Chlamydomonas reinhardtii: one gene and its partner. The protein of the gene in region 2 interacts with the protein of the main gene of each other region in a pairwise test. Links are inferred from orthologs where the notes say so. Each region holds a gene or a part of one and is shown on either strand. Other genes may lie near its edges.

The links.
Region 1: the proteins of CHLRE_06g297750v5 (region 2) and CHLRE_14g623800v5 interact in binary tests that used the Arabidopsis thaliana proteins (3 or more experiments, as listed by UniProt). The link is inferred for Chlamydomonas reinhardtii from reciprocal best matches to the Arabidopsis thaliana genes ATO and ATMAK3.

Annotation. Positions count from the first base shown.
Region 1 is NC_057017.1:2,336,595-2,346,854, reverse strand, and holds CHLRE_14g623800v5 (uncharacterized protein), read right to left. Parts: upstream 4,776-10,260; 5' UTR 4,670-4,775; coding exon 4,598-4,669; intron 4,403-4,597; coding exon 4,159-4,402; intron 3,925-4,158; coding exon 3,783-3,924; intron 3,299-3,782; coding exon 3,115-3,298; 3' UTR 2,412-3,114; downstream 1-2,411. Other genes in the region: CHLRE_14g623750v5 (uncharacterized protein), read left to right, coding at 5,286-5,331, 5,704-5,768, 5,908-6,684, 6,916-7,028, 7,187-7,333, 7,754-7,898, 8,192-8,236, 8,390-8,499 and 4 more. UniProt on the Arabidopsis thaliana protein: Probably required for N-acetylation of some chloroplast precursor proteins and efficient accumulation of thylakoid multiprotein complexes.
Region 2 is NC_057009.1:7,164,962-7,177,548, reverse strand, and holds CHLRE_06g297750v5 (uncharacterized protein), read left to right. Parts: upstream 1-5,803; 5' UTR 5,804-6,042; coding exon 6,043-6,073; intron 6,074-6,150; coding exon 6,151-6,293; intron 6,294-6,488; coding exon 6,489-6,635; intron 6,636-6,838; coding exon 6,839-7,173; intron 7,174-7,370; coding exon 7,371-7,458; intron 7,459-7,721; coding exon 7,722-8,060; intron 8,061-8,316; coding exon 8,317-8,430; intron 8,431-8,588; coding exon 8,589-8,912; intron 8,913-9,290; coding exon 9,291-9,401; 3' UTR 9,402-9,670; downstream 9,671-12,587. Other genes in the region: CHLRE_06g297800v5 (uncharacterized protein), read left to right, coding at 1-1,509, 1,729-1,923, 2,083-2,204, 2,319-2,574, 2,725-4,231, 4,429-4,727; CHLRE_06g297700v5 (uncharacterized protein), read left to right, coding at 11,058-11,091, 11,154-11,365, 11,439-11,511, 11,683-11,711, 11,921-12,115, 12,285-12,512. UniProt on the Arabidopsis thaliana protein: Splicing factor homolog to SF3a60 that may be involved in pre-spliceosome formation. Is necessary for gametic cell fate determination.

The DNA of each region.
Region 1 (10,260 bases), on a different chromosome or scaffold from region 2:
GCACGATCGTGCACACCACCTTGTAACCAAACACACACAGGGTTACCGCTCAAACGCAGCTGCCGCCTGTGGATCTAGCCAGCCGCTGCTGTTGCTCAGCAACCCCCTGGGCGACCTGGGGCTCCTGCCGCCGCTGCCGTCGCCCGCGGACGGCGGTGATGAGGAGGGTCTGGGAGACGGCGATGAGCGCGTGGAGCTGCCGCCGCCGCCCGCGCTGGCGCTACCTGCCCCTCTAGTGCAGGCACTGCAGCAGCCGCCTCCGTGCATGCCGCCTCCGCAGTCGCCTCCGTGCGCCTGGCGGCAGCACAGGTCGCGTGCGGCAGGTTGTGTCGCGCATCGATGCAGGGCTGAGGCTAGGTGCTGGCGGTTCGGGTCAGGGCGGGGAGGGCGGGGAGCTGCGTGTGGGTTCTGAGCCGCCCGCTGGCGGCGCTGGCAGCAGCGCTGAGCCCATGAGCATGTCGCAGTAATGTGCTAGTTCTTTGTGACGGAATGCTGCCGCCGCGTTTCCGCCGAGTTCCCCTGCGCCCCGCCCGCGCGTGCACACCAGCGACTCCCATGCACTCCAGCGAATCCCGCCCGCGCTGGTGCCCAACTGTCAACCGTGTGAAACCGTGTGCGCTCAGAGGCAGCTCATGGAAACCAGGTCAGCCCCATGCGTCTCTCTGAGTTTACACACAGCTCACACGCAGCTTCCCAAACGGCGCGGGCACGACTACGCAGTCCCACTCGCACGCCGCGCCAACCGCCAGCCTCCGCCGTGCTCCACCGTGCTCAGACGCAGCTTCCCACACGCGTGCGCGCTCAACTGCCAGCTCCCACTCGCGCGCCTGCCGACTAGCACCAACTGCCCGTGTGCGTCACTACAGTCAGGTAGCTTCCGAGCCGAGCCGCCGTACAACTACCTGCTCAGACTCGCGCAGCTGCCGACTGCCACGCTACCTCCTGTACGGCTGAGGGGTTTGGAGTGCCGTACACGAGTTAGTTGGGGTTAGTCGGAGCTGTCCTAGAACATACATTATACTATTTTTTCTCGGTGCTAATGCGTTATGGAACCACAATGGTGCTATGCGAGTTGGGGCCATGCAGCTGGTCTTGTTGTGGCGTGCTTTATGCGCTGTATAAGGAGCTTGACGTGCTTAACAAACTTGATATTCCGGCTGGTGGTGCAGGTTTTGCTGGTTTTGGCGGGCTGTCCAACCTTTCACCCTTCGGGATACAGTCTAATGAAGTGACGCTGATGCAGTACGAATGCCCGGCACGCGCGCCAGTGGCCCACAGGCCCAGATCATTACGGTACTTGCATGCCTCTCTTTCCTTTTGGTCTTGAGTAGAGACTCTACTAATGGACCTCATCCTGGCGCTGTGCATTTAGATTGTGTTTGTTACAAGAGTAATCTGCTGACATGGAATGTCAGTTACGTGGATTGCGATCACCCTTACATACAGTGTTGTTCTGTTGCAGGACGGGCGGCGACACATGTTTGCGCGTGAAAGGTAGTCGTGGTGACTTCCCGCCTTCCCTCGAACTGGGTTGAGAGATGATCAGCGAAGGCGTTGCCCCGTTAATACATGCTAGGCCCTATGGGCCAGCGTTGGGATTATTATTATTATTTGCGCGTGAAGATAGCTGTGGGTGCGACTGGCATTTGTCAAGGGGATGCTTCCCTCCAGCAGGCTTCCCTCCAGCGAAGCCTGCGGGGGCTGCTTGTAAGCAGCCGCAGCAGGCTAGCAGGCCCATTGGACAGGGCGCGGCGGGACATGGATCAGGAGGGACCCACGACCGGGATTGATGGCGGGCGGACTCACTCCACCTTCCCCCCCCATATACACGTTCACGCCATGGGTGGATGCCGCGCCGCGCTCGACAGTTTTATTCAAGTTTCGCAGTTTTGTGTTTCGTCATGTGTGATTATATATGCGACGTTACGAATATATAGGTATGGACCGTCATGTATGATATGCCGTAATGAAGATGGATGTTGTACGAATACGCAAGCTGGCGGTGTGGTTCCCTGCGCAGTTGTCATGTGCTCAGTTGGGTTCCTTGCGTCTTACTAACTTTCAGTGAAAGTGGTAAGGCTGTGAAGGGCACACACGGTTGACAAATGTGCGGGTCTTTTGTGGGGTTTCATGTGCTGGCGTTCGCCGAATGCCGTTAGCGCTGCTGGTGACTGGACCAGCAGGGTGCACCCCCGCTGTTTTACAATGGGCCGCGAGATAGAGCTCATGGCGGGGCCGCCCCTAGGCTCTGGCTGGTAAGGCTACTGAATCGTCGGGCGTGGGATCCGGGGAAGAGGATGGACGAGGCGGAAGTTGCGTTTCGTACTAGTTGGACTGTGGATACAAGGCTGGAGGTGGTGGTACATTTGCAGCCAGATGCCCGAAGCGTCACCTCGCTCGGATGCCCCCGATAGCCTGGAGATTTACAGTCCGCTGGCGAAGGTCGGCCGTACCCAGATTGCTGTACATAGCACAACGCCGCACACGTGCGTGAATGCATTGACGACTTGTTTAGCACTTTAGCTTGGCGTACGATATGGTGGGATTGCGACGTCAGGTCCGGGCGTCCGGCCATGTGCATGAGTTGCTTTACTTGCTGTGTAGAGGGTACCCGCGCCTGTCAACATACGAGCATTCGTTCCCACCACACTCGTCATTAACGAGCGTATCCATGCCCAGCAAGGACACACGAGCACAACCGACACGTGTAACCCCGGTGTAACAGTTGTGACTGTAGTCAGGGGGGCAGTGGAGACTGCCGTGTACACTAGCACAATGATCACCTGCTTTGCCTTTATTATGGATTTCTCAGTGATCCACTGCCAGGCCAGGCCACGACAGCCCCGCGCCCCCGCCCACCACCTCCGAATGCTCACTGCCTTCAATCTCCACCCCCGCCTGTCCGCGTATGCTCACCCGCAACCGCGCCCCGGGCCCACCTCCACGCCCTATACACCATGTTAACGAAGATACCGGGCGTTGCTTTCATCCCCTGCCGCGACTGACCGCTCCCGGACAGCACCACGCCGCCACACGCGCCCGCCGCCCACGCCACCTCTGCCTCTGCCTGGAAACCGCACAAACACCCCATCACCGCATGCCTCCACAACCCCCTCACGCAATGGCAGGCTCCGCCGCCGCCGCGACTGCCCCTGCGTCCACCGCCGCCGCCTCCAGCTCCACCCCCTCCAGCTCCGCCGCCTCCGCCGCCGCGGCCGCCGCCAGCGCCGCCTTCTTCTCTTCGGTCAGCGGCAGCAGCAGCTTGAGGCGGTAGGCGTCCACACCGTTCAGGTAGTACCTGTGCAAGGCAGGGGCGGCGGCGGGAAGCAGGGCGGGGAGGCGCTGTGTGTGCTTAGCCGGATGAAAGCGCGCCAGTCACTGAGCTGGAGCTTAGTTCGCAGCTAGTAATACGGTACTCGCAGCTGGAGGTGGGGTGTGCCATGTTGGTGCGTGTTGCGCAGCTGACCCAGGCGCAGCTGGGTTTCGGGAAGTCAAGTGCCAGCAGTAGCGTCGCCCTGAAGGCTGACGCCACGCCGCCGGCCGCAGCACGCGCACTGTGTCCAGTCGGGTCCACGGAAGGGGCGTCCAAACCATGCGACAGCTGCAGCGCACTTTTTCCGTACAGCCCATGTACCGCAGCCCACATCCACCAGCAGCACACAACTGCATGCTCAGCCTATCACTAGTCCCTTCCCTCCCTTTATCTCTCCAAGTGCCACCTCCTGAACAACCGCACCCCGCACCGCCCATCCATTTGTCTCCTCCTCTTCCCAGTCTCGCACCTGTGAAGGCGCTTTTCCCGCACGAAGCCCAGCCCCTGGTATAGCTTGAGGGCGCCGGTGTTTACGACCTCCGCCTCCAGCACCACCTCCTCGCAGCCGCCCGCAATCATCTCCCGAATCCCCATCTTCACCAGCTCAGAGCCTGCGGAGTTGAGCGTGCAGCGTGCGGCGCGGGGCGTTTGACGGGGTCAAGCTTGGGAGAGGGGTTCGTGAAATGCATTGCGTGCGGCAGGATCTTCGTGCGCCAGGCGTGACGTGCAAACACGGCCGCGTGCCGAACCCCCCAAGCCCCATCACCGCCAGTGCTTGCCCGATCCGCACCGCCTCCTACGCTCCCTCCCCTACACCCAACTAAGACACACACAGACTCACTCACCCACGCGCTTGCCACGGTACTCCTTGTCAACCACGAGCATTGCGACATAGCCGCGCAGCGCCCGGTCCCGGTGCATGTCCATTTTGCACACGACCGTGCCGAACGGCTTGTCACCGTCATATGCAATGTAACATAGGTGTGGCCATTGCTGCAGAAAGTAGCGATACGTGAAGATGCTGTAGGGCTCGCTGAGCTCCTTGTCGACCAGGCCCATTACGATGGGCAGGTCCTCCTCGCCTTTGTACTGCGTGTTCGGCATTTTGCATATATGGAGAACTGGATACTAAATCGAGGTAAACAGGCAGCTCCTAATCTAGCTTGCAGCATTTTGCACGCGGTCGTCGCCGCCCTGGTAGCCAAACTCCCACATAAAGAATTGGACATGATACAATCGGCTGAAAGATCAGCATGTGTTTGCGCTCCAGGTCGACCCACTCACTTGGACATATCGGATGGCATCGCTGGTCGTCGCCTCGGCGCCGCTCTGCGACCGGCCTGTCTCTTCTGCCATTTTAACTCCCCGGTGTGCTTATATGGACTGTGTGAGTGCACCTGCTGAAAAAAGGGTTGGGGTCCATGAATCGGTCCCGATGTGTTTCGTGCCTTGTTGCCCCGAATTCCAGGGATGTTAACAGGACGACCACTGCCCATTTGAACTGTCTGCCCACTGCAAGCTCTTCATAGAAACTCCGTTAGCTCTGACTGACCTTTGGACTCACCCCAGTCCCCAGGCTCTGCGGTCCCGGGCAACGCTTTCCCAGCGCAAATTGGCAAGTTGCGCTTTTGGCAGCAGACCCTGTCGCCTACGGCTGGTGAGCGAGCAAACGCGCGGCGCAGAACCGCGCAAAGGCGGCAATCGACGCGGCTCGGCGCGTCGTCTTTCTGGCTTAAGCTGAAACTGATTGAAAGAATGTATGTGTATCGGCGAATCTCCTTGGCGGCCTATGCCGACAGCGCGGTGAGTTGCTGCTGCTGCTGCCCTTTTGTCCCGTGGGTCCAGCTTTGGTGTGTGTTGGGGAGTGTGGCGTCCATAGGTGCCGAATTCAACTGTGCGCTTTGTATTGCCGCAGAGTGGCGGCTGGCAGCTGCTGCGCGACCGCGGTTGGCGCCGGCCCCGCATGGCCCGCATGCTGGCGGCGGCGCTACCGGTGCTCCTGGCGCTGTCCTCACTGGGTGGGTGGTGGGTGAGTGGGTGGTGCACTGATGTAGGTGGTGGGTGCCAGGTACTGGGTGCCGGGGCGTAGGTGCTGGGTGGCCGGTGGTGGGTGGTGGGTGGGGACTCGGAACTGTAGTAGGAGGGCAGGGAAGACGTGGGGGAAGGGCAAGTGGGCTCGGGCAAGGTGATGACAGGCACAGCGGGCGGGAGAAAGAAAGTGCGTCGTTGATGGTTTGGGACGGAGGCGGCCCTGAAAACTCCGGAATTCAGAGGAGCCGGGGAATGCAAAGTATCTGTGCCCTTTTGAGGTGGTGGGCCCCCCTGCCCCCGTGGCCCCTGACCCACGTGTGTGACCTAACCCCATGTGTGTGCCCCCTGCTGTCGTGCAGCGCCCTCGGACCTCTTCTTGGCGGGCGTGCCACATACACAGGGGCACCCCACCACCGCCCTGCCGGTACGTGACACCGCACATACACACCGCTGTTTCCCCCTCTTCCCTCTCTTCCTTCACCATGCTCAACCTGCCCACAGTGCCAGTACGGCACAGTCTCACAATGCGCCGTACTTTCATCGCGCAAACACACCGCGCGCAGGAGGAAGCCCGGCGGCACCTGGTGGCGGCCCCAGAGCTGCAGCCAGGAGGGGCGGAAGCAGGAGCTGGAGCTGGAGCGGAAGCCGGAGCGGGAGCCGGAGCCGGGCCCGGCAGCTGGGCGCCTAGCCTCACCATAGACGCCGCTGCCGCTGCCGCCGCCGCCGCCGCCGCTGCCGCCGCCGCCGCCGCTGCTGGGGCTCACAGGCAGCCTCAGCCGCCACCGGTTTCGGCGGAGGAGGCAGCGCCGTACACCTTTGGCGGCGGCGTGTTGCCGCAGACGGGCCAGCCGCCGCCACCGCAGCACCAGCACCAGCTGCAGCTGCAGCCGGATCAGGTGGCGGCGGAACAAGTGGGATGTCCCATCGGCGGCCCGGAGTGCCCTTTTGCAGAAGAGCACACGGCCGCTGGCATGGGCGGCGGCTTCCACGGCGCTGCTGTCATAAGTGGCGGTGCCGTGGAGGGCGTCCTGGGTGCTGCTCTGCTCGGGGCGCCACACCTGCAGGTCGACCTGGTGCAGCAGCAGCCCGCGTCGACACCCAGCATCGACGAGCGGGCTGGGATACAAGGGGTCTCCAAAACAGGAGTGCACCTGCCGCCGCCGCCTCCGCCGCCGCCGCCTCCGCCGCCGCTGCCACAGCCGCCGCCGCCGCCGCCACCCGTGGTGGGTCAGCAGCCGCCTGCAGCTGCCGCGGTTGGTGGTCTTGCCGGACCACGGCAGGCACCGGCAGCAGCTCTGGGCGGCTGGTCCATCTCTGGTCTGGTGGAGCCTGTAGTGCAGGTGGGGGCGGGATGGCGGGTGGTCTGGTGGTCTGGTGGTGCATGCAACTGACCGGGTGATAGTGATGATCAAAGGTGGCGTGGTTTGTGCACGGGAGGCTGGCGGCTTTGCCAGCAGCAGGACAGTCCGTTCACCTGTCGTCAAACAACACGAGGGAGCGTATAATTCCTAATCAGAAGAGGGCGAGTGCATGCCCTCACGCCCACACCACCACAAACCACGACTTCACAGGCGCTGCGTGTACAGTCGGCCGCCACGGCTGTAGACCTGGCGGCGGCGGCGCGGCTGCGGGCGGCGGCGGAGAGCGCGGCGGCGCGGTTGCGGAAGCACTTGGACGACGTCAGGTACGGTGTCGTACGTACGCCACCGCATGCCCCTGCGTGCCCAGGAAAGGCCCGACCCCTGCGTCCGCAGCAACAAACCTCCCACGCCTCCCTGTTTCGTTGGGCTCGGGCATTCAACCCCTCCCCTCCCTGTCCTCCCTTACCCGCCCGCCCCGCAGGCAGCAGCAGCGGCTGCTGGACGCCCGGCGCGACGCGGCGGCGGCCGCAGGTGACTACGGCGCTGCGGCGGCGCTGCGGCTACAGCTGGACGGACTGGAGGCGGAGGCGGAGAGCCTGGAGGCCGCGGCCAGGTCGTCAGCGGACAGGTGCGTGCGTGTGTCGTACGCGTGTGTGTTTATGTGTGTGTGTGTGTTTGTTTGTTTAAGGGCATAGGGAAAACATCTCGCAAAGAGAGAGAGAGAGAGTGTGTGTGTGTGTGTGTTTGTGTGTGGAAGTTAGGAAAGCACCACCTGGGCAAGGGGCGCGTGCCTGTTTAGGGAGCACACGGGAAAGGTTGCGTGCGTGCGTGTCTTTGGTGTTTTGTTGCTTCCGTGCGTTGAGATGATGTCATAGATGGTACCGGCACGGCCGCAGGCGCCGGGTAGCACCGTCAGTTGGTGATGGCATTAGATACTGACTGGAAATCAAGCACGGGAGTGGATGAAACACAGCGGTGATAGCACCTGCTGTCATGAATCTTATTGCCTTGACTGTCCGTACCTATGTAGTCTACGCATGTCTGGCAGGCTGGACAGCCTCACGGAGGCGGAAGGCGGCATGCGGGCGGCGCAGGCGGCGGCGCTGCTGGCAGCGGCGGCGGAGCTGCGCCGGCTGTCGTCCGCGGCGGCGGGCGCTCTGTCCCGGCTGCAGGCGGAAATGTCCGAGGTGCAGGTGTGTGTGTGTGTGTGTGTGTGTGTGTGTGTGTGTGTGTGTGTGTGTGTGTGTGTGTGTGTGTGTGTGTGTGTGTGTTATGGACGTGCGTTGTGGAACTGTGTGTGTGTGTGCGCATGTGTGTAGTGTGTGTGTGGGGTGGGTGGGGGGTGGGGGGTGGGGGGGTGGGTGGGGTGTGTGTGCGCTGGGCTGAAGGCGAGTTGCCTGCGAGTAAATACTGCTTTCCGCCCGTTGGCGCCCACGGTTGGCGCCTCGCCACGACATTATGCCCTGGCGTCCCCCGTGTGCCCCAGTCGCGTCTGGACACCACCACCAATGCCCGGCGGGCCCTGGGCCAGGTGCGGCGGGTTCGGATCCGTCACCACGGGTGCGGGGTGAACTCGGGTGAGATAATCATGTGGTTCACTGGCCACCTCACGACAGCCACTCGCCACGTTTCGCCGTATTCGCCGGACGCGCCAAACGTTTTGTCTACGACGCCACTCACGCAGGCGCTGTCTCGTCACTCGCAGCAGACGGACGTGCGGCGGGAGCTGAGGCGCCTGGCCCTGGACGCGGCGGCGGCGGAGTCGGCCGCGGCGGCGGCGCTGGCCGAGCACAGGTGCGGGAGTCCCCACCAAGCCTTCATGCTGCAATGATGTTTTGAGGTTTGACTGTCCAGCATGGCACCAACACGTCATGCCAAACGGCACGCGGCAAGCAGTGTCATAGCTGACTGCCATTATTGTGCAACCAACTGCCTGTGCCGTTGCCATTCCGCGCATTTATACGCTTCGTACACAGGGCCGCCAACCGCGCCGTACTGACTGACGCCGCTGGCCTGGTCCGTAACCTAACCGCCGCCGACAGCCTGGCGGCGGCGGCGGCCGCGGAGGCGGAGCTGCTGCGGGGCCAGCTGGCGGTGGCGCTGCAGCTGCAGGTGGGGCAGGGGGCCATGCTGTCATGGTGTGTGAGGGGTTTGTCGGTTTGTGGGGGGTGGGGCATGTTTGGGAATGTGGGGCATGTGTGGGGCGCGGGGTGAGCCAGCGCGTTCCAGAGATTGCGGATGACGGGGGTCGGTCGGTGTGAGTCAGAGCAAGGCGCCCTTTGTCCTTCCCACGGCCCCGTGGTGTTGCTGTGTCATCCCCGTGCAATGCAATTTTCGGTCCGTTGTTTCAGAGGTGCACCAAAGTCCTTGATCTTCAACTTCAACTTTTGTGATCTCCCAAACCTCCTACGCGTTCTGTGGGCTCGTCCCTGGGTCTTCTTTCTTTGGGATTGTAGTTAAGTACCCACCCGACACCGCCACAGGACTATGCCCACGCGTCTGCCCTGCGCTCCAGCCTGCAACGACTGGAGGAGGCGGTGGCCGGCGGCGGCGGAGCGGCGGCGGCGTTTGGGCGGCTGCTGGAGGCGCACCAGGCGGTGGTGGCGCAGTGAGTGGCGCGGCGGCGGCGGGTGGCGCGGCGGCGGCGCGGCGCGGCTGTGGGGGTTAGCACAACCACAGATGCAACCACCCATGCAATTGCAGACGCACACGTGAAGCGAGCAGATGCACTCGTACCTGTACGAGTACCGTAAATGCTCTTGCGTGGCGTCGCCTGGATATGTGATGCAGGCGTGCTCGTGTCAGTAGGCTCAGCAGTGTGTGTGCTGTAGGTGCTGTGGTGGAAGGCAGCTGCTGTGCTGTGCAGCGCGACACGTGGCGCCTCCCTGCCGCCCCTGGGATACAGGGCACTTCGCCGCCCCGCCCCGCCCCGCCCCGCCCCGCGCCCCCGTCTACCACTTCCTTAACTACCGTAATCATGAATGCACCCCCCGCCCCGCCCCATCTTGCAACCGTGCAGGCGGCTGGCGGACTTCGGGCACGGGCTGCGGCGGTTGCAGCGTGCGGGCGTGCTGGTGGGTCTGACCGACGACCTCCGGCGCATGTACGGGGCAGGACAGGTGGGTGGTCGGGTTGTAATTACCAGTCCAAACTAAACCGAACTTAATGGTGGATGGGTAGGTGGATGGGTGTCGTGGCATGCAAAGAGAGGATGCAGGGTGTTGGGTGGGGAACATGTCCTCCGCATGTTGGGTGGCAGGGCGGCAATTGAGGTGCGTGCGTGCGTGCTTGCATGCATGTGAGTGCCTGGGTCCATGACTTGGTTCAGTTGGTCATGCTCGTGTACCGTGTCGCGCATACGTGGGCTTCGGCTGCGCTTTGCACCTGACAAGCCCCCCCACCCCACACACACACCATACACACACGGGCCCTGTTGACGGGCAGGTGGACGCGAGGGAGGCACTGCAGTTGGCCAGTCAGTTGGCGGCGGCGGTGGCGGAGCTGAACAGCTCGGTGCCGCCGCCGGCTGTGGAGCGGGACCAGGCGGAGGAGATT
Region 2 (12,587 bases):
CCGCCTCCCCCAGAGGAAGATGACGAGGAAGAGGCTGGCAGCCGCAGCCGGGGGGGCAACAGCAACGACTCTGATGACGATGACCTGGGGTTGTTACCTCGCAGCCGTCGCCGGCGCTCATCCACCAGCAGCCGCCGGCGTTCGTCGGGTGTGTCGTCCGACGGCGGCGCCGTGGGCCTGCCGCAGCCCAAAGACGCGCTACCACCCATGTGGTTCTTCCCGTCCGGCGCGAGGCCGGTGACCGCGGAGACCGTGGCCGCCGCCATCGCTTGGGTGGGGTCGCTGGTGACCGACGCCAACAACCTGGTCCTGTGGGCGCAGCCCATGCCGCGCACGCACCTGCTGCTGTCGGGCCTGGCGGCCGCCTACCCGCGGGTGCCCGGCTACCGCCGCGCCGCGGTGCTGCTGTGCCAGCACCTGAAGCCGCACGAGCGCGCCGTGCGCCGCTACTCCTACGGCGGCAACGGCTCGAACTACACCACGCCGCGGCAGGGCAGGAGTGTGGCTGGCAGCCGTGCTGTCAGCCGCGCCGTCAGCCGCGCCGCCTCCAAGCGCGGCGGCATGCTGAGTCGCAGCACCTCCAAGAAGAACCTCAGCAGGGCACTCAGCCGCATGGGCACGCTGCGCGAGCGGGCGGTGGCGGCGGCCGCCGCCGCGGTGGTGGAGGAGGGCGAGGAGGGCGCCGGCGCCGACGGCGCGCTGGGCGAGCCGGGTGTTGAAGAGGGCGACCGGACGGCGTCTGCGCTGGAGGCGGCGGTGGCCGCGCTGGCGTCGCGAAGCGGCGGGCGCGCAGTGGTTACCTCCGTGTCGGGGGCGGATCCTGGGCTGGCCGGTGCCGGGGCCCCTGCAGCGCATGTGGCGTTTGGTGAGCCGCCGCCGCCGCTGGCACACTTGCGCCAGGCTGAAGATCGGGGTGAGGAGGCGGGTGACATGCCTGGCCCGGTGCGCTCTGAGTCGCCGGCGCCGCAGCCGTCACGGCAGCGGCCGCGGTCTTCCATCGCACGCAGCGGCCAGCCACGCTCCGGCCTGGTTACCGGCAGTGGCACTGACGGGGTGCGCTTTGGCCCGTTCGGTGACGGGTCGGCGCCGCCTATGCTGGAGCGCTCCCGCTCACGACCGCGCGCCGCGACCGACCTCGGCATCAGCGACAGCGATCCGGATAGCCGCGTCATGCGCGGCAGCGGCTTTCGCTCAGCCGACGGCGCGGCCGCCTATGCGGCCCTGCGCGAGGAGGACAAGGCGGAGGCCGCCCGCAACCCCGACCCGCCCCGCTTGGGCTTCCCGGTCTTTGTGGTGGTGCACGAGCTGGCGATGCCGCCTCTCAGCGGCCCCGCCGGCGGCGGCGGCGGAGGCCTGTACGGCGCGTCTGGTCCCAGCTACCTGATGGCGTACCACGTGTACCAGAAGCACCTGGAGGGTTTGCTATACGAGCAGGCGCGTGAGGACGTGCAGCAGCTGTCGCTCGGCTACTTCCGTGGCATGGCGGAGGCGGAGGGCGGCTTCCTGCAGGTAGGTGCGGGCGTACAGTGTACGGCAGGGTGCGGGTAGCTAGGGCATGGTGGTGCCGCATGGCGGTGTGGCTTCACTGCTTAGTTTTGGTGCTTCGTGCCGGCGGCTACACGCACGTCCCTCGCATGGGCTGTTTGCAGGGATAGGATGCAACCACCGGTCATGGGCATTGCTGACTGTTTGCCCGGTGTGTGTGTGTGTGTGTGTCCCGGATGCCAGGTGGCTGCCTCGCCGCTGGAGGTTGGGTCGGCGCTGGTGCTGGCAGCCTCCTGCGCCGTGAACGGCCGCTACCTGAGAGACCTGAAGCTCAGCACGCGCGGCGCCGTGCTGCGGGAGCAGTTCCCGCAGCGCCTGCCGCCGGCCATGCCGCTGGGCGAGCCGGTCACACTGCTGGTGCGGCTGACCAAGATGCAGGTGCGTGAGTGTATGTGCATATGTGTGTGTGTGTGCATATGTGGGCTGCAGCGCGTGTGCTAAGGGCAAACGTAGGCGCTGCTCAACAACGACAGTGCCTGTCGCCTTCGTTCACTGTATTTCTGACATGCGTGTGATGTGTGGATTCGCCACGTGCAGCCTGGAGCCGCGCTGGTGCTGGCGGGGCGCTGGCCCAATGGCTCACGGACGCAAGTGGAGGTGTCGGTGGACCCGCGGCTGCGGACGACCGGGCAGCTGCTGCCGCTGCTCTGCGCGCTGGGGTAGGTCAAGCCCCAGAAGAGTCAGTGCTCAAACTACACAGTCGCAAGCTGCAAGGGCGGAAACACGGCCCGACCACCTGGCCACTGCTAATCTTCTTTTGCCTATGCGTGCAGGGAGGTGTCTTCGCTGCTGAAGCAGCTCCCGCCGCCTCCACCGGCCGGCGGCTTCCGGCCCGGCAACGACGCAGCCAGCATGCGCCGCAGCGGCGGCCTGTCCCAACAGCAGCAGCAACAGCAGCTCACTCAGGAGCAGCAGGAGGCGCTGCTCAGGGCGCAGCTGGGCACGCCCAAGCAGCAGGCGGCGCGGAAGCGGGCCATCGAGAGGTGCCGGGCCTTCAATTTGGTGACCACGCTGACGCAGATGTCCATGGTGGGTACCCTCCCGCATTTCCGCAGGCATTCCCTCCATATCCACTCCAGAAGTTCTCAAGCACGCTATGGCGGAGTGTCATGCACGGTCATTAAGCGTGCCCGTTACCTGGTCACACATGGCTGCCTTGTGATCTTGTTGCGAACGCAGGTGACCATGACGCTGGCTCGCGGTCGTGGCCTGTCCATGCACACACACCAAAACAACGCCAACAGCCGACACGACCCCCGCGCCAACTTCTTCTGGCCTTCGCCCATCCTGTCAGTGCTGTCTGCGGCTGCACGCGAGGCGTATGCGGCAGGGCCCGGCGCACAGCTGCAGCAACAACAGCAGCAGCAACAGCAGCAGCAGCAGCACGGTGGGCCTAACGGCATGGCGGCCGGCGCCACCACGCCCTTCGTGGCGCCGCCCAACGCCGCAGCTGCTGCAGCCCACGCGCCGCTGTCGAAGGTGTCATCCCACCATCTGATCACATTCCAGGACCCGCCACCGCAGTTGTCGGCGTCACTGTCGCTGGCGGGGATTGAGCTGCCTGGCGGCATCAAAGGGCTTCCAACCGGGCACATGACGCTGACCGCCAAGGCACCAGGCGCGCCCTCACGCGCGTCGTCTTCCTCCCTGCAGCCGCCGCCGCCGCTGCCCCAGCACACCGGCTCCCAGCACGCCATCTCACCCGACCCCTCTGCGCCGGGAGCGCCAGATGACACAGGCTCCGAAGCCTCCTCAGCGCGCCCCTCCCTCGCCCAGGTCGCCGGCGACACCATGGCCGGGCCGCAACCAGGCGGCACCGCGCCTGTGCCGTTGCTGCAGCAGTCCTCGCTTGCCTCCCTCAAGTCCGAGGCCACAGCAGCTACCCTGACCTCGGATGCCTCGGACACAGAAAGCCGCGCCGGCGGCTCCGCCCGTGTCAGGACGCCCAGCCGCGCCGCGGCGCGGCGGCGGTCGCTGGTGCTGCTGGAGCAGACGACGCAGATGACGGCCCTGCGCATGTCGGCTCTGGGTATCCCGGCATATCTGCCGGATGGCGGCACACGTAGTCCTGACATGATTTCAGCAAGTGGCGGCGTAGGCGGAGGGCACGGTGCGCCCCGCCTGTCCAACTCAGGCACCCTGCACTTCGGCGGCACCGTCAGTCGACGCGGCAGCGCCATCAGCGGCATGGACGCGGCGGCGGCTCAGCACCAGCTCGCGGCGGCGCGGCTGTCCAATGTGTCTGCAACGTCATCTGCAGCGGAGTGGCGAGCGCCGCCCACGCAGGACGGTGCACAGTCAGATGAGGCTCAAGAGCCCCGCAGCGAGCCCCAGCAGCTGCTCAGCCCGCCTCTGCCCACGGCTAGGAACCTGGCGCCCGCGGGCGCGCTGCCGCCTCTGGCCCCAGCGCCTGCTGCCAGCAGCCGGCCGCAGCCGACCCCCAGCCCGCAGACTCTGCATCTGCAGGCGTCCTACGCCTCGCACCAGATGTCTTCAGAGCAGTCCAAGACGCCCACTGTGCCCATCGGGCCGCCCATGACGGCAACGGCCGCCGCCGCTGCCCACCAGCTGACAGTGCTGGGCCAGCTGGCGGCGCTGCAGCGGGCTGACGGCAGCTGGCCGCCGGACGCGGTGTTGGAGGAGCTGGTGGTCAGCAACGGCCGCAACCTGGATGTGCCCGTCATGGGTGAGTGGAGTGGCGGGACGGGATGACTTGCAGGTTTTGCAAGGGGGGATGGTACTGGCAAGGCCACGGCCCTGGCTGCAGCTTTGGTTGGGCTGGTTAGCTGTATGGCATCGTGCAGGCCTGCATGAACACCGCCGCTGTAACATCACACATGCGTTGGAGCAACGCGTGCATGTTTGCTGTTCCCATCTATGCAGGTGGGCCCAAGCCCCAAACCGGGGCGCAGCGGCATGAGGCCATTGCACGTGAGGCGCGGGCTAGGGAGGAGCTTGAGGGCTTACGCGAGCACGCTCTACGCGGCGCGGTGCGCGGTGCGCTCTGGTCCACGCTGCTGGCGCTGGCCCTGCTGCGCACACGCTACGCAGCTGCCCGGCTAGCCTGGATCCCATTGGAGGCTCGGGCGTTTGCATGGCTTGAGGGCGTGTGGCCGCCGCCAACCATATGCCCGCTGTCGCCTGCTTCGGCAATCCTGCGCATCTCCGCGCTGCTGGTTTAGGCAGCAGCATGTGTACGGTACGTGTGTGTGAGTATGAATGTGTATGTGTGTGTGTGTGTGTGTGTGTGTGTGTGTGTGTGTGTGTGTGTGTGTGTGTGTGTGTGTGTGTGTGTGTGTGTGCTTCGTGTGTAGTCGGCCTAATGCACGCGGCGGTCGGGAGCGCAGGTGTGTACTTGGGCGCGCACGTATTACCGGAACTGAATAACCTGGAGTAACTGTGTGAGCGTCGGCAGACTTGGGTCGCACTCGACACTGACAGCACTTGGAATAAGCTGCATGGCGATACGGCGAATGTAGGGCCATAAGAGGATTGGGAAGGTGGTGTTGGGTGATTGACGTACAAGGTGGGGTGTCGGCATGCTTTGGAACTGCAGCCTGGACTGACAGCATGACCTACATGCCAGCATTGTTAATAATACTGCCGGCGGCAGTATGTCGAACCAGTCACCGGTCAGGGTGGGAAAGGTTGGATGCCATGTTTTGTTGCGGCATCCAGGATTCCCGTCTTGCTTGTGACACGGAGACTTGTGGTTGTAACATTGCCGCGCTGACTTGCTCCACAACTGTAAGCCATGTTTATATGCCATGCAAATCAAGGGCTGTGGCGCCTGCAGCCCTATCCGTCAACTCGTCAAGGCTGTAGCCTTCAGGGGCGTAGGGACGCCGCACGTCGAGCACGTTACTCGCACGTCCCGTGGCGGTGGCAGGTGCGCTGCGTCATACCGGTACTCTCGGGATTTGTGAGTTTGTGCTGCGTCGCATCTCATTTATTTCTAGTGCATGTGCCCTGCAGAAATCAGGAACGCGCCCCTGTCCGGGCCAGGCACGCTCCCGGGCTTGGTCCACGGTGCTGACTGCCCGTCAGTGCTATCCAGGCTATCCTGTGCTATCGACGACGCCTGCCCGTACCTCCGTGCCATACCTGCAGTGCATAGTTGCACGAGCACGGAGCCCTGCCCACCACATATGTGGCGATGCAGGTATGCGAGGATGCAGCAAGACTGTGTGCGGGCCGGGGGGACCAGATCGTCAAGGCCGTGCATGGATTGTGGCAGCCGGCGCGCCCCCATAATTGTTATCACGACGCATACGCTAAGACATACCGACTGTACATTATATGACTCGGTAACGGCTTGTGGCCAGGTGACTGTCACATAAATTGCGCGTAGACCCGGTTAGAGGTCGCCAGCTGCTCTGCAAGTCTCGTCGACTGCTTTTATCTCATCGCTAGCTTTGCGGCGGGGGCCCCAGGGCCCTGCGCTTGCGTCGCCGCCCACATTTGGTGTAGTCTTCGGGAGCGGACCGAGCAGCAGCAATGGCGGAAACACTGCTGGAGCAGACCCGTGGTATGCATAGATTTCATGCCAGCGAAGGTGTCTCGCCGCGCGCGATGTATGCATCACCACCTTTCCGCGCTGCGCAGGTCTCCACGAGGACATGGAGCACTTTGAGCGGGTCATATGCAAGGACCTTAAGCAGGAGACGAAATCTCATAAAGATAAGCTCTTCCAGTCGCATCGTGTGCGGAAGCGGCTTGACCAGATCCAGGAGTCAGCTCGCAAGCTGGTGAGATACTGCTGAAACACAGGGTGCTTACAGCAAGAGGAGGCAAGAGGGATCCTGCGGAGTGCCGGGGGCTCGCAGAGTGGGGCCAGTTCGGCGGGGGTGTCCGGGTGAGTGTGCCTGGGAGTACCCACCGCCACAGCCGCGGGCGACAAGGGCTGTGGCAAACCAGGGCCGCGCAAACCTGTGGATGTGCAGATTAAGATCTACGAGGATGAGGACAAGGCTCGGAAGGAGGAGATTGAGGCGCTGGGCGGTGAGGACAAGGTGTTCAGCAAGTTCTATGACCGCCTGAAGGAAATCCGCGAGTACCACCGCAAGTTCCCCAACCACGAGCTCACTGAGGTGCGCAACAGGGGCGGGGCCACAGGCTAAGACAAGCTATACCCCTCGCTAAGTTTCCCGCCTCCGCGCCGTCCCTCCACACACCGTGCCCTCCTCTGCCCACAAGCCCGCCTTCGACCTCACCCCTCGCCCTCACGCCGCCCACCCCACTCCAACCCCGCACGATCTCCTCTACCTTCCCCAACCCCACTCCCCAACCCCAGGCCGAGGACGACACACCACTGCTGAAGGAGGAGCCGCACGTGGAGTTCACGGGCGAGGAGGGCCTGGGCCGATACCTGGACCTGCACGACCTCTACCAGCGCTTCTGCAACCTGCGCCAGCAGCAGCAAGCCGGAAAGGGCGGGAAGAAGGGCAAGGGTGGGGCGGGGGCGGACGACGACGGCGCCATCACGCGGGTGGACGGCGACGGGGCGGAGGTGGCGGAGGGGGGCGCGGGCGGGGCTCCGGAGAAGTCGCTCGAGTACTACGAGTACCTCACCAGCTTCTCGGACTTCAGCAGCCTGCCGCGGGCGCAGCGGATGAGCAAGGGCTTCAGGTGGGTAGGGGCCGGAGGTGGGGGCGGGAGGGGGGGCTTGTACGGGGGCTACTGTGGTGTGCGTCCCAGGGGAGGGGCCTGCGGCCGACAACCTGCAAGACAAAGCGGGCCAGGATAAGTCTGCAGATGTACCTCCGCCATCCCCGTTATTACACAGTTACCTACGGTACGCGCTCTTCCCTCTCGCTCCCCTGCAGCGAGTACCTGGAGGCGCTGCTGGCCTACCTCACCGGCTTCTACGAGCGGACGCAGCCGCTGGCGCAGCTGGGGCGCACCCTGACAAAGGTGGGAGTCCGCCGGCAGGAGGGGAGTTGGCGTGGGCGGGGTATGCGGGCCCGGTCGGGCAAAGCAGCACCGTGGCTGCTTTGGGTCGGGTGGGTTAGGAGTGGGATGGGCGGGTGAATTTATACCTGACTAAGGGGGCTGAGCGGTCAGATGTGCTTGTGTGTGGATGCGGCAGGCATTGTGGTCGGTTCACGCTTCAGCGCGGCCCATGCACAAGTGCTCGGTACCACCGCCTCGGCGCACGCTCACCGCATCCCTCGCAGGTGGAGGAGGAGTTCGCGCCGCGCTGGGAGGCGGGCCAGGTGGCGGGCTGGGAGGACCGCGGCGTGCCGGCGGCGCCGTCCGCCAGCGGCCTGGAGCTGGAGGCGTTCAGCAGCGCTGAGGAGCTGGAGATCCTGGGGGCGGACCGGCTGAAGGAGGCGCTGACGCAGCTGGGGCTCAAGTGCGGAGGCACCACCAAGGACCGCGCGGCGCGGCTGTGGCTGACGCGCGACACGCCGCTGGAGAAGCTGGACCGCAAGCACTTCGCCAAGGGCGTGGTGCCGCCCTGCGTGGCGGCCGACCCCGCCGCCGCCGCCAAAGCCACGGCGCAGGCGCGCGCGGTAGGTGCCGGGCAGTTGCTGGGATGCTGCTGCTGATGGGTGGGGTGGGGGCAGACGGAAAGGGGGTGAAGGTGGTATGGGTTGGGCGCGAGTCCGCCTCCAGTCTCTTTAACCACTGCCTCGGGTGCTAAGTGCAAGCGCGGGCCGGGTTTCTGGGGCAGCCGATCCCCACTCTCGTGTACTCTTGTACGCCGCATGATGGTGATGCCGTGTCGCCGCCCACCGTCCTCACACGCCTCTTCGTGCCCCCTCCCAGGTTGCGCTGCTGGAGGTGAAGGTCCGCAAGATGGCGGAGCTGTTGGTGAACGTGATTGCTGACACCAAGGGCAAGGTGGAGAAGAAGCAGGCGCAGACGTACGAGGAGATGCAGGTGAGGTCCGCCGGCCCAGCTCGGAAGAGCTTTCGGCACCTGCTTACGCTGCCGACCCAGCGCTGTCCTTAATGCTGCATGCCCCTCACCCGCCGGCCCCCTCGCCTGCCGCAACCCCAACGGTCCGCTCCCTCCGGTCGCTTCCTCCCTGCGCACAGGCCGAGCTTGCGGAGGCGGAGGCGGAGGTGGCGGCGCCGGACGACGAGGAGGAGGACGACTTCGTCTACAACCCGCTCAAGCTGCCGCTGGGCTGGGACGGCAAACCCATCCCCTACTGGCTGTACAAGCTGCATGGCCTCAACCAGGAGTTCAAGTGCGAGATTTGCGGCAACCAGTCCTACTGGGGCCGCAGGGCGTACGAGAAGCACTTCAAGGAGTACAAGCACCAGCAGGGCATGCGCTCGCTGGGCATCCCCAACAACAAGATGTTCTACGAGGTGACCAAGATTGAGGACGCGCTGCAGCTGTGGAAGAGCATCCAGGTGCGGCGGATAGGGCGCGCAGGGAGAGGGGTTGAGGGAAGGGGGGGCGGTACCGGCTTGTGTGCGCGTATGGGCGCCCTCGGTGACCTCAACAGGTGGCCTCCCTCTACACAGAATTATAGGTTGACACCCTCGCGTATGGACACCTCTCCACGCATCCCCATTCTAAGTAGACATGCGTATAATCCCCACGCAACCCTCCCCCTTCCCCTTTAACCTGATTTTGTTTAGTTTGAGTTTCTGTATTTACACCCCTCCTACCCCCCCCCATAAGTATTATCGCTCGCAACTAACGCCTCTGCCTGCACTCCCGTTTTCGTTGGTTTTGGTTTAGTTTGGGCTGGTATTTATAACCCCCCCCCCCCCCCGCTCGTGCAGGACAAGGCCAAGGGCGACTTCAAGCCGGACGACGAGGAGTTTGAGGACGCCTCCGGCAATGTGTACAGCAAGAAGACGTACGAGGACCTGCGCCGCCAGGGACTCATCTGAGCAGCAGGCGCAGCGAGGGCAGGCAGGTGGAGTGCACGGGACGGGATGGCGTGAGCGTTGGTGCAGGAAGAGGGGTCGAGGAGGAGCAGGCAGAGCAGGAGAAGAGAGCGAATGTGGCATGCGGTACATGTTCATGGCCGTGTTCTTGGTCTCGAGTTCTGTCAGGTGGCGGGTACTGAGAGCGCTTTGGTCGCTTGGCGCTGTCCGGTGGTGTGCGTTGGGACTGTGTTGACAGGCTTGGTGTGGGCCGCTTTGTATACTGTCGTGCACGGTGTGTCTGCGTGGTGCTATCGCCTATCGCCTGGCCGGGCATGAAGAATGCGCGTCAGCAAACTTCCAGCCAGCTAGCAACTTGTCGGTACAGTATCTCCGGCGTTCGACCAGCCGCGCGCTCCTGCACTGCATTCCGTCGACCATGGCCAGCCGGAATGCGGATGGGGTACACCGCTTGGCCATGGCGGGCGCACAGGTGCGCCTGGCTAATACAGACAGACGTCAAAGTTTCATTTCAGCACAGCTTATCCGACGCGTACGCCGGTGTACAAGAAAAACAAACTATTTAACAGGAGCGTGGTGAAGGTGCGATGGGATGTGTTGTTTCGACTTCAGCAAATGGCAACGAAAGGCATGGATTGCAACCGCATCGAGCCCCTGCTTGGAAGCCCATGGAGTTCTGGTCCGTTGAGGTGAGTCCAGTGTTCCCTAGTCATGGAGGTGTAACTAGAATACCAAGGTGTTCTGCAGGAGGTAAATTACTGGCTTTCTACGCTGCCAAGTATTGACAACGTGCACTATGCGACTTTACTTGCGCCCTTGGATGAGGGCTGCGTGCTTGCAAACGTCTGGAGCGTGGAGGTAAGTTTATTACTTGTCTAAATGGAACGTATGAGTTTCAAAATTGAGTTGGCATAGGTCTGCGACTTGACGCTCACCTGACGCCCCCCCTCGCACGCACAGCACCTTGTGGCGCGGGGGGTCCACAGGGTTCACGCCGTGCGCCTGATCGCGTACCGAGATCAGGCGCGCTTGCGTACACCTGCAGGAAAGCCCTTGGAGGACTGGGATACAAAAGTGAGACCACGCAAACGTAACCCGGTTGTGCAGGGGCCGCGCCCTGCTGCCCCGGGCTTCACGAGTGCAATGTGCTGCTGTTGTTGACAGGATGTCTCCAACTGGTTTGACACGCTGCCGGCGGACTTGGCGCTACACGCACCAGTGCTGGCCCATGACGAGGGTTGTGTCCTCGCTGGCGTCTGGAGCTTGGAGGTATGAGCTTTGGTCCTAGGCGTACGGCAGCTGTGTGTGGGGGGAGGGGGGGAGAGGGGTCGCCAGCCAGGGTGGGTGTGAAGACGAGCCTAAGCTAAAGCAAGCGGAGTTTGCTGGCTGCACTCTTCGGAGCGTTGTTTCCCTTGCACCATGACGGCGTTTACGCTGCCGCCTTGTAACCCGCATTCGCCTAGCATACCGTACTAAAGCATGTACTGGGGTTTTAACTTAACTGGCAAACTTGGGCCCTCTTTGAATCTGCCCGCCCCCCACAGTACCTCGTGCGGAGAGGGCTTCCGCCGGACGACGCTGCTCGCCTCGTTGCCTACCGAGACAAAGTGGCAAGGCTGACGTCGCGGATTTTGGTGCCGAGCTATGTGACTTTCGCCGATGAACGCGGTACTGGCGGGGCCAGCACCTCAAGGCTATCCAATGCCGCTGTAGGCGCTGCGGCCTCTGTGACCGCCGTGCCCAACTCACTTGCAGCAGCAACGGCAGCAGCAGCGATACCAGCAGCAGTAGCCCCTTCGTCCGCAGCCGTTACGCTCGCAGCAGAGTGCCTCATAGCAGATGGGGACGATGAGGTGCCCCTCAAACAAAGCACGCAGCAGGCGGAAAGCACGCAGGCGGACGAAGTGCAGTTAGATGTGCATCTGGAGGCCGCCGCAAATGAACCGGGCAAGGGGAAGAAGCTGAAGGTGGGTGAGCCTCCAGCCGAGATGCCTTCCTGTAGACGCCCGGCTCTTCTGACCAACGGCCACCCAACCGCAGGCTCTTGCCAAGCAGGGCGTTGCAGTTGCACGAGTAGTTCTTGAGCGAGTGGGGCCAGCACTTCCGTTTGGAGGTATGTATGAAAGCGCGCAGGATTGCATGGCCCCACTTGTCCTGTTGGACACGTACGGCTCTGCAACATATGCCTTGCTCCATCGTGTCCCTTCTTTCTTTGACCTAACTTCCCACCCACACCCGGCTCACCCTCTGTCGTCCTCCTACGCTGTCCTACGCCACTCATCAGGCGCCGAGGCAGCCAACCTGATTCTTCAGGTATTCAGGCAGCGGATGATGAGTGGAGTCCTCGCCCATCGCGTCCTGGAATTATATAAGCAACCTTCCCATCCCTGCACCTGGAATTTTATTAAGCAACCTTGCTTCGTAGCCAGCAGAGGGATTGCACTGCGCTTGCTCCTGCTGCTGCTGCATGCCCTGCTGCCGTGGCCATGCCCTGCTGTTTGCCTGCTCGCCCGCCCGCCCAGGTGCTTGACGCAGTGGAGGCCGCGGTGGCCAACGCCGCCAACCTACGCCAGCTGGCGGAGCGGGCGCTGACGGTGATGGATGTGCTGCAGGCGTATGCGGAGCAGCTGCGCGGGCTGCAGCGCCGCCGCCGCCAGGACGGCGACCGGGGGGACGGCTGCCGCAAGATTGTCAGCCGCTTCCAGGACCATTTGCGGGTAGGTAGGCAACGCGGCAGGGCGGTGGGCGGTATCAAACCATGCGCACACAATCAATCTAACAGCTTTAACAGCCTTGAGATTCTGGAAACGTGTGAACCCTCAACCCCAACAGCATGTCTGGCATGAGCCCGCACGCGCCCGGCCCATCACATACACACGCACCCAGGGCATCCTGGGCTATGCCCGAGAGTACGCCAGCCGTAACTGCCTGGTCCGGCTGTTTACCTCGGCGGGAGACGCGGAGCGGTTCCAGGAGTATGTGGAGGAGCTGAGGCGGCTGGGCGAGGATCTGCGACTGTTGCTGGCAGTGGACAGCAATGCGCGGCTGCACGCGGTGCAGGCGAGCATGGCGGCATCACTGGCGGTGCTGAGCGAGCAGCGCGTGGCTTATCAGGTAGGCGGGGGAGGGTGGGGCCAGCTTGCTTGCCTGCCTACTCTGCGCAGTTAGGTGGGGGTCTCTGCGCGTTGG